Linked DNA regions of Macaca mulatta. The protein of the gene in region 2 interacts with the protein of the main gene of each other region in a pairwise test. Links are inferred from orthologs where the notes say so. Each region holds a gene or a part of one and is shown on either strand. Other genes may lie near its edges.

Evidence for each region.
Region 1: the proteins of DDI1 (region 2) and CYGB interact in binary tests that used the Homo sapiens proteins (3 or more experiments, as listed by UniProt). The two-hybrid records come from large-scale screens. The link is inferred for Macaca mulatta from reciprocal best matches to the Homo sapiens genes DDI1 and CYGB.
Region 3: the proteins of DDI1 (region 2) and KLHL42 interact in binary tests that used the Homo sapiens proteins (3 or more experiments, as listed by UniProt). The two-hybrid records come from large-scale screens. The link is inferred for Macaca mulatta from reciprocal best matches to the Homo sapiens genes DDI1 and KLHL42.

Annotation. Positions count from the first base shown.
Region 1 is NC_133421.1:86,289,503-86,293,248, forward strand, and holds the start of CYGB (cytoglobin), read right to left. Parts: upstream 2,318-3,746; 5' UTR 2,226-2,317; coding exon 2,083-2,225; exon of another isoform or gene 1,975-2,082; intron 1-1,974. Other genes in the region: photoreceptor disk component PRCD, read left to right, coding at 2,481-2,631. UniProt on the Homo sapiens protein: Probable multifunctional globin with a hexacoordinated heme iron required for the catalysis of various reactions depending on redox condition of the cell as well as oxygen availability.
Region 2 is NC_133419.1:104,893,168-104,896,913, forward strand, and holds the start of DDI1 (protein DDI1 homolog 1), read left to right. Parts: upstream 1-1,313; 5' UTR 1,314-1,554; coding exon 1,555-2,745; 3' UTR 2,746-3,746. UniProt on the Homo sapiens protein: Probable aspartic protease. Seems to act as a proteasomal shuttle which links the proteasome and replication fork proteins like RTF2. Required, with DDI2, for cellular survival following replication stress.
Region 3 is NC_133416.1:30,134,275-30,138,020, forward strand, and holds the start of KLHL42 (kelch-like protein 42), read left to right. Parts: upstream 1-1,325; 5' UTR 1,326-1,365; coding exon 1,366-2,237; intron 2,238-3,746. UniProt on the Homo sapiens protein: Substrate-specific adapter of a BCR (BTB-CUL3-RBX1) E3 ubiquitin-protein ligase complex required for mitotic progression and cytokinesis. The BCR(KLHL42) E3 ubiquitin ligase complex mediates the ubiquitination and subsequent degradation of KATNA1.

The DNA.
Region 1 (3,746 bases), on a different chromosome or scaffold from region 2:
GCTGGGGCCTTGACCTTGAGGATGTGTACGTTGTGTGTGGGAAGACAGGGTGCTGTGTCAAGACTGACGGGCCTAGGATCTGAGGAGGGACCTTCAGGAGCCCTTATGCCCCTTTCCTCCCCTTCCCCCACTGCCCAGGCCCTGGACAGAGACAGGAGGAGAGAAAAAGGAAAGCAAAGCCCTGCGGTGCTTGGGCTGGCAGGGAGTGGCTGAGACAAAGCTGGGCCAGGCTGTCCTGGGGCTGGGCTCTGGTCCACACAGAAGTGGAGTCAGAGTAGTGAGGGGTTACTCTGGGCATTGAGCGCATTGGTAATGACCTCCCCCAGCCCAGGCCCAGGCCCCTCTGCGAGACAGGAGTGGGAAACTGGAAGAGGGATGTAGAGAGAGAAAGAAATCCTTGCTGGAAACTCGGACTGCCCAGACATGGCCCTGGTCTCAGTGTTTCATTTCCCCCTTGGCATGTGCCCTTCCCTGGTCCCCTTCCTGGGGAGGGTCAGTGGTGCCCCGAGATGCGGATGGTGAGCCCTTCCTCCACGTATCCGCACAGGTACATGGCAGGGGTTGGGACAGAAAACCTCCAAGGTCCTGAAGACCCTGCCTCACTTCATGGTGACACATGAGTGTGCCAGATGCATGCGAGGCCGGTGGGCTGCAGGTGCTGACACGCGGCTGACGGCGCCCTCCGAGGATGCAGTCTGGCGCGTCTGTGGCTCTGCTACCCACTGTGTGCTTGTATGGGTGCCAGCACGTGTGGGGATCGGTGGTTCCGAGCGTCTGAGGCCCTAGTATCCCAATGTCCCTCTTAGCTTCCTGCCACTCCCAGCTGTGTTGCTGGGCCTGGGGGCTGCTGAGATAGCTGCCCTATCCTCAGGAGCGCTCCTGTAACTCCTTAGAACCCTTAGAAAGGCTTCCTGCTCTTTTTCCACCAAAATCTGCTTCTGAGTTGGAATCAGGGCATATCATGGTGGAACTGGATAGGTCCCAGGCTTGGGAGAGGCCACAGGGAGAAGAAGCTGGAGACGGAGCTGGCCTGGGAGTCAGGCATGCACTAAAGCTGCCCTTCCAGAGCGAGGCTTCACCCCGTCTGCACATGACAAGGCTGCCCTACTCTGTCCTAGATTTGACCACTTTCCTCTCCCAAGAACAGGGGCTTGAGGGTGAGCATGGTCTGGGGCTCCTCTGCCTGCACCCCCAGGGACCAGCACGTGTGGGAAGAGAGCATGGATTTGTAGCTAGAGTCAGTGACTAGCTTTCGAGGCTTGGACACATCACCTCTATGAGGATGGTGTGTGTGCTCTATGCGCAGGTGTGTGAAGAATGGGGTGCTCTCTGTTTGTGGGTTTCTCAGGGGCATGTGGTGCCTGAATGACCCCTAAGCCCAAACCACTGCATTTCCTCCCTAGGTGGGGGGTTTTAGAGTTAGGCCCTGTCTCCTCAAGCTTCTCTCTTCTTCCCCTCACCCTCCTAACTCAGCAGGGATTGTATCCTAGGGGACTGTTTGCTTCTCCACTCACCTGTGCCTGCCCTGGGAGCTCCTGCTGGCCCATGCCGTCCAGCAGGAAGAGGGCAGCTGGGAACACTGGACCCCCGTGCTCTCCTCCTTCTCAACCTCTGCTCTTTGCTCTCTGTTCTTCCAAGAGGCTTTGAATCCGGCAAGCGGCGGAGCTGGAGACAGGGGTCTGCTCCTCTTTGTCCCCCTTCTGAGTTGAGCCTCGGTTTTCCCATCTCTAAAATGGGGAGCCCCTGCTACTCCCTTTGAAAGGCCAGAAAAATGTGTGCGTCTGACAGCTTGGCTGGGTGTCTGGGGTCGCTGGCCCAGCAAGGAGTTCTGAGGCCGGGGAGAGGAGGAGGACCGAGGTGCTCTCCTGCATCTGGTTCCTAGTTCCTGGTGAGCACCGCGCCGGAGCCAGGGAAGGCTCACCCCACGGCGCCCCACGCTGCCTGCCCCGCCGACCTCGGACCGGCCCCATTCGCGGCTGGGGAGGTGGCGCTGGAGCTCGGACCCGGGCCCAGCCCGCCTCTGCCCGGAGCCGCTACCGCCCTCCCTGCCCAGGGCCCGGCCGGGCCCCGGGCGACACCTACCTCACCAGGATGGCCACCCCCACGTCCTCGCAGTTGGCATAGAGCCGGGCCCACGTAGCCTGCACCGCCTTCCTCTCCGCCTCGGACAGCTCCTCGCTCCGCTCCCTGCGCTCGATCTCCATCTCGCCTGGCACTTTCTCCATGAGGAGCTCCAAGCCCAGCCCGGCTTTGCTCGGCGGCAGCGGTGGCGGGGCGCGGGGCGCTGGGCGCGGGGCGCGGGGCGCCGGGAGCCGGGGCCGGCTGCGTGCGCGGCGGGCGGGCGAGGGGTAGAGCGCGGAGGGAGGGAGCGTGTGTCTGTGCGCGCCGGGTGTGTGTGTGTGTGCGTGCGTGTGTGCAGGGTATATGTGCGGGGGGCGGGGGACCGCCAGCGGGGGGGCGGGGATGTGGTCTGCTGGAAAATGTTTAAAAAAACAAATCCTCTCCAAACCCCCAGCCCCGTGTGGGTGAGCCAATGCCGGCAAGGTGAAGGCTGCTCGGGGTGGGGGCGATGCGACTGCCGCCCGCCCACCCGCAGGCCACGGCGGAGTTGCACCGCGGGGCGGGGCTCGGGTAGGTGTGGCCGGGGCGCTGGGGGTCCCCGGAGGAATGGGCGGTCACGCGGCGCTGGGCGGCGCGGGCCGCACAGGAGTGCGCCGGGGCGGGCGCGAGCTGGGAGCGCTGGGTCCCGGGTCCCAATGCTTGCGGCGTCGCGTGTGTGCGCGTGCAGACCCTTCCTGCGGCGGGGAACTGACTTAAAGTCCAACACTCCCGAGCTTTCGCGGCAAGGCCGACCGCCAGCCCGCCCGTGTGGGCGAACGCGAGCCCCTCCGGCGGCCGCCGCGGACCGAGCTGGGCTCCCCTCGCCCGGGCCTCTCCCCCAGCCCCCGAGCCAGCAGCTGGGGGCCGCGGCGCCACTCCCACAGCTCTGGACGCCCAGGCTCTGAGGGGTTAGCACGGGTCGTTCCCCCCACCCTCCTACCGCCCCGGCTGTCGGAACTTGAGCGCACCTCCGACCTCGGGCGCCAGAGGCCTGCTCCCCCTTTCCTACCCCCCAGCACCGCCATGCCCTTGGTGCACGCACGCGGCGGCGGCGGCCAGAAGTCCCCCGTGGCTTATGAATGACACGGACAGGCAAGAACCAGGCGCTGCCCTGAATTCTGGCCCAGCTGGTGGCGGAGGAAGTCCGGAGAGGCACCGGATAGGGCAGAAGGACCTGGCAGTCGAAAAGTCTTGAGGAAGCCGCAGGCCGCTGGGGACACCTCAGCCAGCACCAAAGGCCCCATTCTGGGCCTAGGGGAAGCAAATCCTTCCTCTTGGTGGGCCCTGTCCAGGGCAGTGTGAGATTGGGCCAGAGGTGGGGGAGAATCCCATGGTGGCTGCCCTGCAGCGGCTGCTCAGTCCTGGGGACAGCCTGAGGCCAGACAGGACCTGGCAGTGTCAGGAAGAGATGTCACTCAGGCTCCCGGTGACCCTTGTCCTCGCTCAAGACTTGATGTCCCATTGCCCGAGCATTGCTAAGGGTTGGCTCTGCGCTTTCGCTATGGTTCGTGTATTTATTCTTAAAATCTGACTTTAAGGTCCGGGGGAGGCAAGGAGAACTCACCCTGGCCAGCCTCAGTTGCAGCCTGGGCCCTTCCTGGGAGCTCAGGGTTCAGGTGCCTGGGGGACCTTGGGGCAGTGCCTCT
Region 2 (3,746 bases):
TACTCAAGAAACATGTTTCTTCTCTACTGCTTTGGCTTCAGTCCTCCTGACATTTCCACACTCTAGCAACAGCTCCCTCTTTGAACCACCAGAAAAGCCTGCTACCTGGCCCTCCTGCCACGTTATGTCCTCCATGTGTTGCAAGAAGCCTCTTCCTTAAGTCAATTTAAAAAAAAAATCACAAATACCTGCTTCAAATCTTTTCCCTTTCCTTTCATTCCTTACTTCTTTTTTCTTTCTTTTTTGGAGGGGGAATTATTGTTAATTGATAATATTTAATATTTAAACTCCTTAGATTCATATATGACTTCATACATTGGCTCCAACTAATTTTTTTCCAGTTTCATATCCTGGTACTCAAAGTCATGTACATTATTTTCTTGCATAAAATGTCTCATCTTTCTCTAGAAATAACAGTCCTTGCCATAAATTCCTGCTTTTGTAACATGAAACGGCTTTCCTTTGGAGTGAGACCACTTTTCACCTGAAACATGCTCATCCTTCAACATCCAGCTTGTCTCCTCCTTAGGAAAACATCCTCTGTTCTGTTGGTGATACTGAAGGCAGTAAGTACCCTGAAAATGTCTTTGTAAAAGTTTTGCCTTTAGTATTGTGATTACCCATTCACCTGTCTATCCCTTTCCAGAAATGTGAGCTCCTCAAGGGCAGGCTCCAAGTCTGACTTTCCTACTGTGCACATACGATGGTACTTGCCACGCCAAGAAACAAATCCTTACTGTTTGGGGAAAAAACAAAAGTACAAAGAATACAACTCTAATATGAACAAAACGAATGATAATATGCTGTTTAGAAAGTATTGAAAAACCAGGCACATTGGCTCACACCTTGGGAGGCCGAAGTGTGGTGGATTGCTTGAGCCCAGGAGTCGGAGGCTAGCCCGGGCAACATAGTGAGACCCCGTCTCTATTAAAAAACAAACGAACAAAAAAACACAGCCCTGGCAACATAGTGAGACCCCGTCTCTATTAAAAAAAAAAATACAACAATTAGCTGGGCATGGTAGATTGTGCCTGTAGTTCCAGCTTTTCAGGAGGCTGAGAAAGGAGGACTGCTTGAGCCCACGAGGTCGAGGCTACAGTGAGCTGTGATCATGCCACAGCACGCCAGCCTGGGTGACAGGATAAGATCCTGTCTCAAAAAAAAAAAAAAAAAAAAAAAAAAAATGTGTTGAGGTCATTTCTTTCATATCATGTGTTAAATAGGCTTCGAAGGGCTGGCCTTGAAACCTGACAGCTTTGAGCCATTGTGTTTCCATGGGAGTAGGCATTCTAGGTTCCAAACCGCGCACTTACAAATGGACTTTGGAACACAACGTGCTACCTCAAGGCTCCACCTGGCCACACGGCAGGCACTGAGGCTGGGAGGCAGCCCCCAGACAGATGAGTGTCCGCTCCTCTCTGAGAGGTGAATGAGCCCGAGGGGTCCTGACCTACGGAGTTGTGAGGAGCAGCGGCGCCAACGACGCAGGCCCGCCCCAGCCCGCCAGCGAGCCGCCCATGCCCTCTGCCCGCCTGGCCCGCCTGGGCCCTCGCCATGCTGATCACCGTGTACTGCGTGCGGAGGGACCTCTCCGAGGCCACCTTCTCCCTCCAGGTCAGCCCCGACTTTGAGCTCCGAAACTTCAAGGTCCTCTGCGAGGCGGAGTCCAGAGTCCCCGCCGAAGAGATCCAGATCATCCACATGGAGCGACTCCTCATCGAGGACCACTGTTCCCTGGGCTCCTACGGCCTCAAAGATGGCGATGTCGTGGTTTTACTGCAGAAGGACAATGTGGGACCCCGGGCTCCAGGGCGTGCCCCGAACCAGCCTCGTATAGACTTCAGCGGCATTGCGGTGCCCGGGACGTCCAGCTCCCGCCCGCAGCACCCAGGGCAGCAGCAGCAGCGCACACCCGCCGCCCAGCGGTCACACGGCCTGGCCTCCGGAGAGACGGTGGGCGTCCCGCAAGGTCTGGGCAGCCCCGGCCTGATCCGCAGCATGCTGCTCTCCAACCCGCACGATCTGTCGCTGCTCAAGGAACGCAACCCCCCCTTGGCGGAAGCCCTGCTCAGCGGAAGCCTTGAGACCTTTTCTCAGGTGCTGATGGCGCAGCAAAGGGAAAAGGCCTTGAGAGAGCAAGAGAGGCTTCATCTCTACACGGCCGACCCCCTGGACCGGGAAGCTCAGGCCAAAATAGAAGAGGAAATCAGGCAGCAGAACATTGAAGAAAACATGAATATAGCGATAGAAGAGGCCCCCGAGAGTTTCGGACAAGTGACGATGCTCTATATTAACTGCAAAGTGAATGGGCATCCTTTGAAGGCTTTTGTTGATTCTGGCGCCCAGATGACCATTATGAGCCAGGCTTGTGCCGAGCGATGTAACATCATGAGGCTGGTGGACCGACGGTGGGCTGGGGTTGCTAAAGGAGTGGGCACACAGAGAATTATTGGCCGTGTTCATCTAGCTCAGATTCAAATTGAAGGTGATTTCTTACAGTGCTCTTTCTCCATACTTGAGGATCAACCCATGGATATGCTTCTAGGCCTAGATATGCTCCGGAGACATCAATGTTCCATCGATTTGAAGAAAAATGTGCTGGTCATCGGCACCACTGGCACGCAGACTTACTTTCTTCCTGAGGGAGAGTTGCCCTTATGCTCTAGGATGGTAAATGGGAAAGATGAGCCTTCGGACAAGGAAATTACACATTCGGTCATGGATTCAGGACGAAAAGAGCATTAAAGCACGTTATAAATATGTCACCACCTTGAGGGAGGCTCAGGTCCCCGGAAATTATACAGTAAGAGCTCACTGGCAATGTAATCATTAAAAATCATCAGTAACAACTAAACCTGGCCTTGGGACTACGTTCTCAGATGGGTAACTACATCAATCCTGATTCCTTGGTCTTGGTCCCTCTTCCATTTCCCTTGTCCAGAGATCACTGAAAGACATCCTGGGAAGGCTCTGGAGGCTCCAGCTGATTTCCAGATAATCCATGAAAAAGAAAACCAGCTTCTTCCTTTAGAGACACTATCCTATCAGATTACAGGTGGCTTATTCAAATTATTGCTATTTTGTAGAATTCCCTGGAAAAATGCTATGGCTGCAGACCTTACAAGGCATCCACATAAAACTATTTCACATCGGCACTAACAATTCTTTATATTGAAATATGCCCATTTTCACAGGTTTTGTTTTCTTTCGGAAAGGCATTAGAAATGGTGGGTCAATTACACTGTGATGTTAACTAATACTTACACATGTCTGTTTGGGGCAGCATAAGGACCAATTTCCTCATATTTACACCTTCCCTTCTCTTGGATCCCCTGCAGTCACTCTGCAATCCACAGCTAAAGACTATTTTTGCCACATTTGAGAAAGTGGATTTATCTCCAAGGATGCTACATTAATTTTCTATTTCCCCTGCATTCAAAGAAACTCTCACTGTAAAACAAAGGCAATAAATTAGATTTTTTTTAAAAAAAAAAGAAATTATGGTACTTCTTGGGAGTCAAGTTGTACAGTAGTGGGAGTGAGAGGTAGGCACAGGCAGTGGTCCAGGTTCTCTAATACTCATTGCAACTAGATCATCTCTCTCTCGCTTTTTTAAAGTAAAAATCTGCTTTATACATTAAGCTGCTGCTACATCAATATTGTTTGAACAAATGTGTTCACTGTTCAAATAACATTTGAAAACTTTTGAATGAGAAGATCTCTAAGGCCTCATTCAGAATTATCCA
Region 3 (3,746 bases), on a different chromosome or scaffold from region 2:
CAATTCTCCTGCCTCAGCCTCCGGAATAGCTGGGATTACAGGCGCGTGCCACCACACCCGGCTAATTTTTGTATTTTTAGTAAAGACGGGGTTTCACCATGTTGGCCAGGCTGGTCTCGAACTCCTGACCTCGTGATCTACCCACCCTGGCCTCCCCCAGTGCTGGGATTACAGGCGTGAGCCATCGCGCTCAGCCAAACTGAACGTGTGATCTCTCTTAATAGTCCTCAGATGATGGGGGCAGGGTAGGTGGAGAAACGGGGTGACAAGAAAAGCTACCTCTTGCAGACATCTATGAGCTGATTTTGTCAGATCTTTTGCGACAGTATAACATTCCGTAATGGCTAGTCCAAGCAGACTGAAGTAGACAAGCAATGGCTCATAGAAAACATGGTTTAAAACCAGAAGCCACGTGATGTAACTTTATTTAGTCGAACTGCGCTTTCATCTTTCTTTTAATAACTTAGGGAGAACAACGGGCCCCAGTGGCAAATGCAAGGTCCCCTGCCTCCCAACCCGATTCCTCTGAGAACCTGCTGCCATCTGCCTGGACCTCCTGTAAGATGGCTCCTACGCGACGACCCTACCAGAGAATCAGCTCTACGTGCCACCAACATTGCCACCAACATGTCCACAGATTGCCTGCTTGCCTCAGCCCACTGACACTCGATGCCGGACTGGGCCAGAAGGACGATCCTAGATTTGATGCCTTTTTGTCTCCCTGGACCAGAGACTGCCTCCTCTTTCCTCCCACGTTCATTTCTTTTTCTTTAGCCCGTGTAAAGCAGCGTGGGAGAGAAAACTAATTTCTTCTCCCTGGGGTACCCCGGAGCATCGCTGCAGCCCCTGGCAGGCGGCGGAGCCGCGCGCCCCGGGCGTGCCGAGAGGCTGCGGGGACGCGCGCCCTCCGCCTCCCGCAGCTGCGCGTCCGCAGCCGGGGCGCCCAGGCCCGCAGCCTCCCGGGCCTCCCCGAGGGCCGGATCCAGCCTGCAGGTCAGGCCGGCGGCCGGGGTCCCGCGGGCGGAAGTGAGAAGGGCGGCCGGGGAGAAGGCTGCGGGCTGGGGGCTGGGATTCCCTTCCCGCCTGGCGCCGCCTGGGAGAGCCCGCGCGAGGACGCCCGGCGCGCTCCGCCGGCCCTTTTTTGGCGCTGAGGAAAAGGAGAAGGGCAGAGCCGCCGCCTCGCGGGAGCGGGCCCCGGGAGGAGGGGCCGCTGGAGAGGCCGGGCGAGCGCGGGCGGCCCTCACCTCGCCGCTCCTCCCGGGCCGCCATCCCTCGGCGCCCCGCCCGGAACCGGCGCGCGCGTGGGGGCGGGGAGGCCGGCGCGCAGATCTGGCGGTGAGCGCCGCCGCCCCGGGGCCCCCAGCCATGTCGGCCGAGGAGATGGTGCAGATCCGCCTGGAGGATCGCTGCTACCCGGTGAGCAAGAGGAAGCTCATCGAGCAAAGCGACTACTTCCGCGCCCTCTACCGCTCCGGCATGCGCGAGGCCCTGAGCCAGGAGGCCGGCGGCCCGGAGGTGCAGCAGCTGCGCGGCCTCAGCGCGCCGGGCCTGAGGCTGGTGCTGGACTTCATCAACGCCGGCGGGGCCCGCGAAGGCTGGCTCCTGGGCCCGCGCGGGGAGAAGGGCGGCGGGGTGGACGAGGATGAGGAGATGGATGAGGTGAGCCTGCTGTCCGAGCTGGTGGAGGCGGCCTCCTTCCTGCAGGTCACGTCTCTGCTGCAGCTGCTGCTGTCCCAGGTGCGGCTCAACAACTGCCTGGAGATGTACCGCCTGGCGCAGGTGTACGGGCTGCCCGACCTGCAGGAGGCCTGCCTGCGCTTCATGGTCGTCCACTTCCACGAGGTGCTGTGCAAGCCCCAGTTCCACCTCCTGGGGTCTCCTCCCCAAGCTCCGGGGGATGTCAGCCTGAAGCAGAGGCTGAGGGAGGCCCGGATGACTGGGACTCCTGTCCTCGTGGCCCTCGGGGACTTCCTGGGGGGACCCCTGGCCCCTCACCCCTACCAGGGGGAGCCCCCGTCCATGCTCAGGTACGAAGAGATGACTGAGCGTTGGTTCCCGCTGGCCAACAACCTTCCTCCCGACCTGGTCAATGTCAGGGGCTATGGGTCTGCCATCCTGGACAACTACCTCTTCATAGTGGGCGGGTACAGGATCACTAGCCAGGAGATCTCTGCTGCGCATTCCTACAACCCCAGCACCAACGAGTGGCTCCAGGTGGCCTCCATGAACCAGAAGAGGTAAGCACCCCGGCAGAGTGCTGCTGCCTTCTCATTCATTCACTTGTTCATTAGTTCATGGGCCCGGTGTTTACTGAGCCAGTAAATAGGGGAGGGTGTGCTGAGGTGGAAATGACATCTTCAGGAATGTTGTTGGCCTTGGTGCTGGCAAAGTTCCCAGTGAACTAAGAAATTGCGAAGAGGAACTCCCCAGTGAGGTCAAGTAGTGGAGTGGTTTTTTGGCAGGTATTGTGCCTTTAGGTGAATCTGCTTTCTTTGTCTCTGTTCTTGTGAAAAAAGATGTCGTGATTTCCTATAAGAATACTTTAAAAGAAAATTGCTCCTTAATTTTTAAAAAAATTTTTCTTAGTTTTTAGGATTCGATCCTGATGGTAATGACACACTGGACAGTAACCTGTGACACTGACTTTGGGGGATTTTTTTCTGTTGTCAGTGACTGTGACAACAGAGAGTCTTTCACACTGTGACACCCATCATGACCAAGAGATAATCACTGGAAATGTATTAACATTTGCAATAGGGGTTGCTTTTCTTATTTTTTATCTTCTCTTTTGCTTCCTTCCCTGGACAGCCATCGTCATGACCCAAAGCTTGAGCCTGGAAGTGTTCAACTATAGAATTGGAATATTTTCATTTACCCAACCTTCTCCCCCTCCCATCCTGCAAATCCCTCCTGCCTCCAATATGGGTGACTTGAAGAAAGGAAGAGGAGGAGCTTGAGGAGTGGGATGAGAGGGGAGAAGGGAAACGAACCAGGGAAGGAATATGAAAACAAGAGCAAAGAGCATATACAGGAAGAGATGGTAGGAAATAAAGACGGTAGCGCCGAGGAGGCCTCAGAGTCATTCAGAAGCAGGGAAGAGAATCAATGTAACTCAAGAAAGAATGAAAATACCCTTTCTTCCCATCCACGTGTTTCCATCTCAATCCTCACAGGGTCCTGGTCCTGAAGTGTGGAGCAAGGAATTGGGGAACTCACAGCTAGGCGAAGGAAGTCTTAACAGTAACAGAGAATCCTTTATATATCTATCTATTTGACTCGAGGGTCCTCCTTGGCCAGGGATTATTTGGGGAAATAACTGGCTTTATTTCTCCTATAATATGGAATTCATTTTGAAAAGTATGCTTTTTTCCCTGATAATACATGGTTACAGAAAACTAGAAAATGGAAAAGAATGAAGAAGCAAAAAGATGATTATTACCACTCGTTCTTCCTAGAGGCAGTAACTGCAGGTTGGCATATTTCCTGCCAGCCCATTTTTAATGCATTATTTGCACCATTGAGATGATACCATATTTAAAATTTGGTATCAGAAGTGTTATTTTAAAACATTCTATGCGCTGTAATTGAAACAACAAAGAAACATTGTGTGGCTATGGGTGGTGGTCTGATTAGGGGTGGGCGGCCCTGAGTTCTCTGTCTCCTCTTGCATGCCTCCAGCTACACATCATTTGACGCTCACCAGGCCATCCTTAGTACCGCAGTTCCTCACAGTTCTTTCTTCCCTT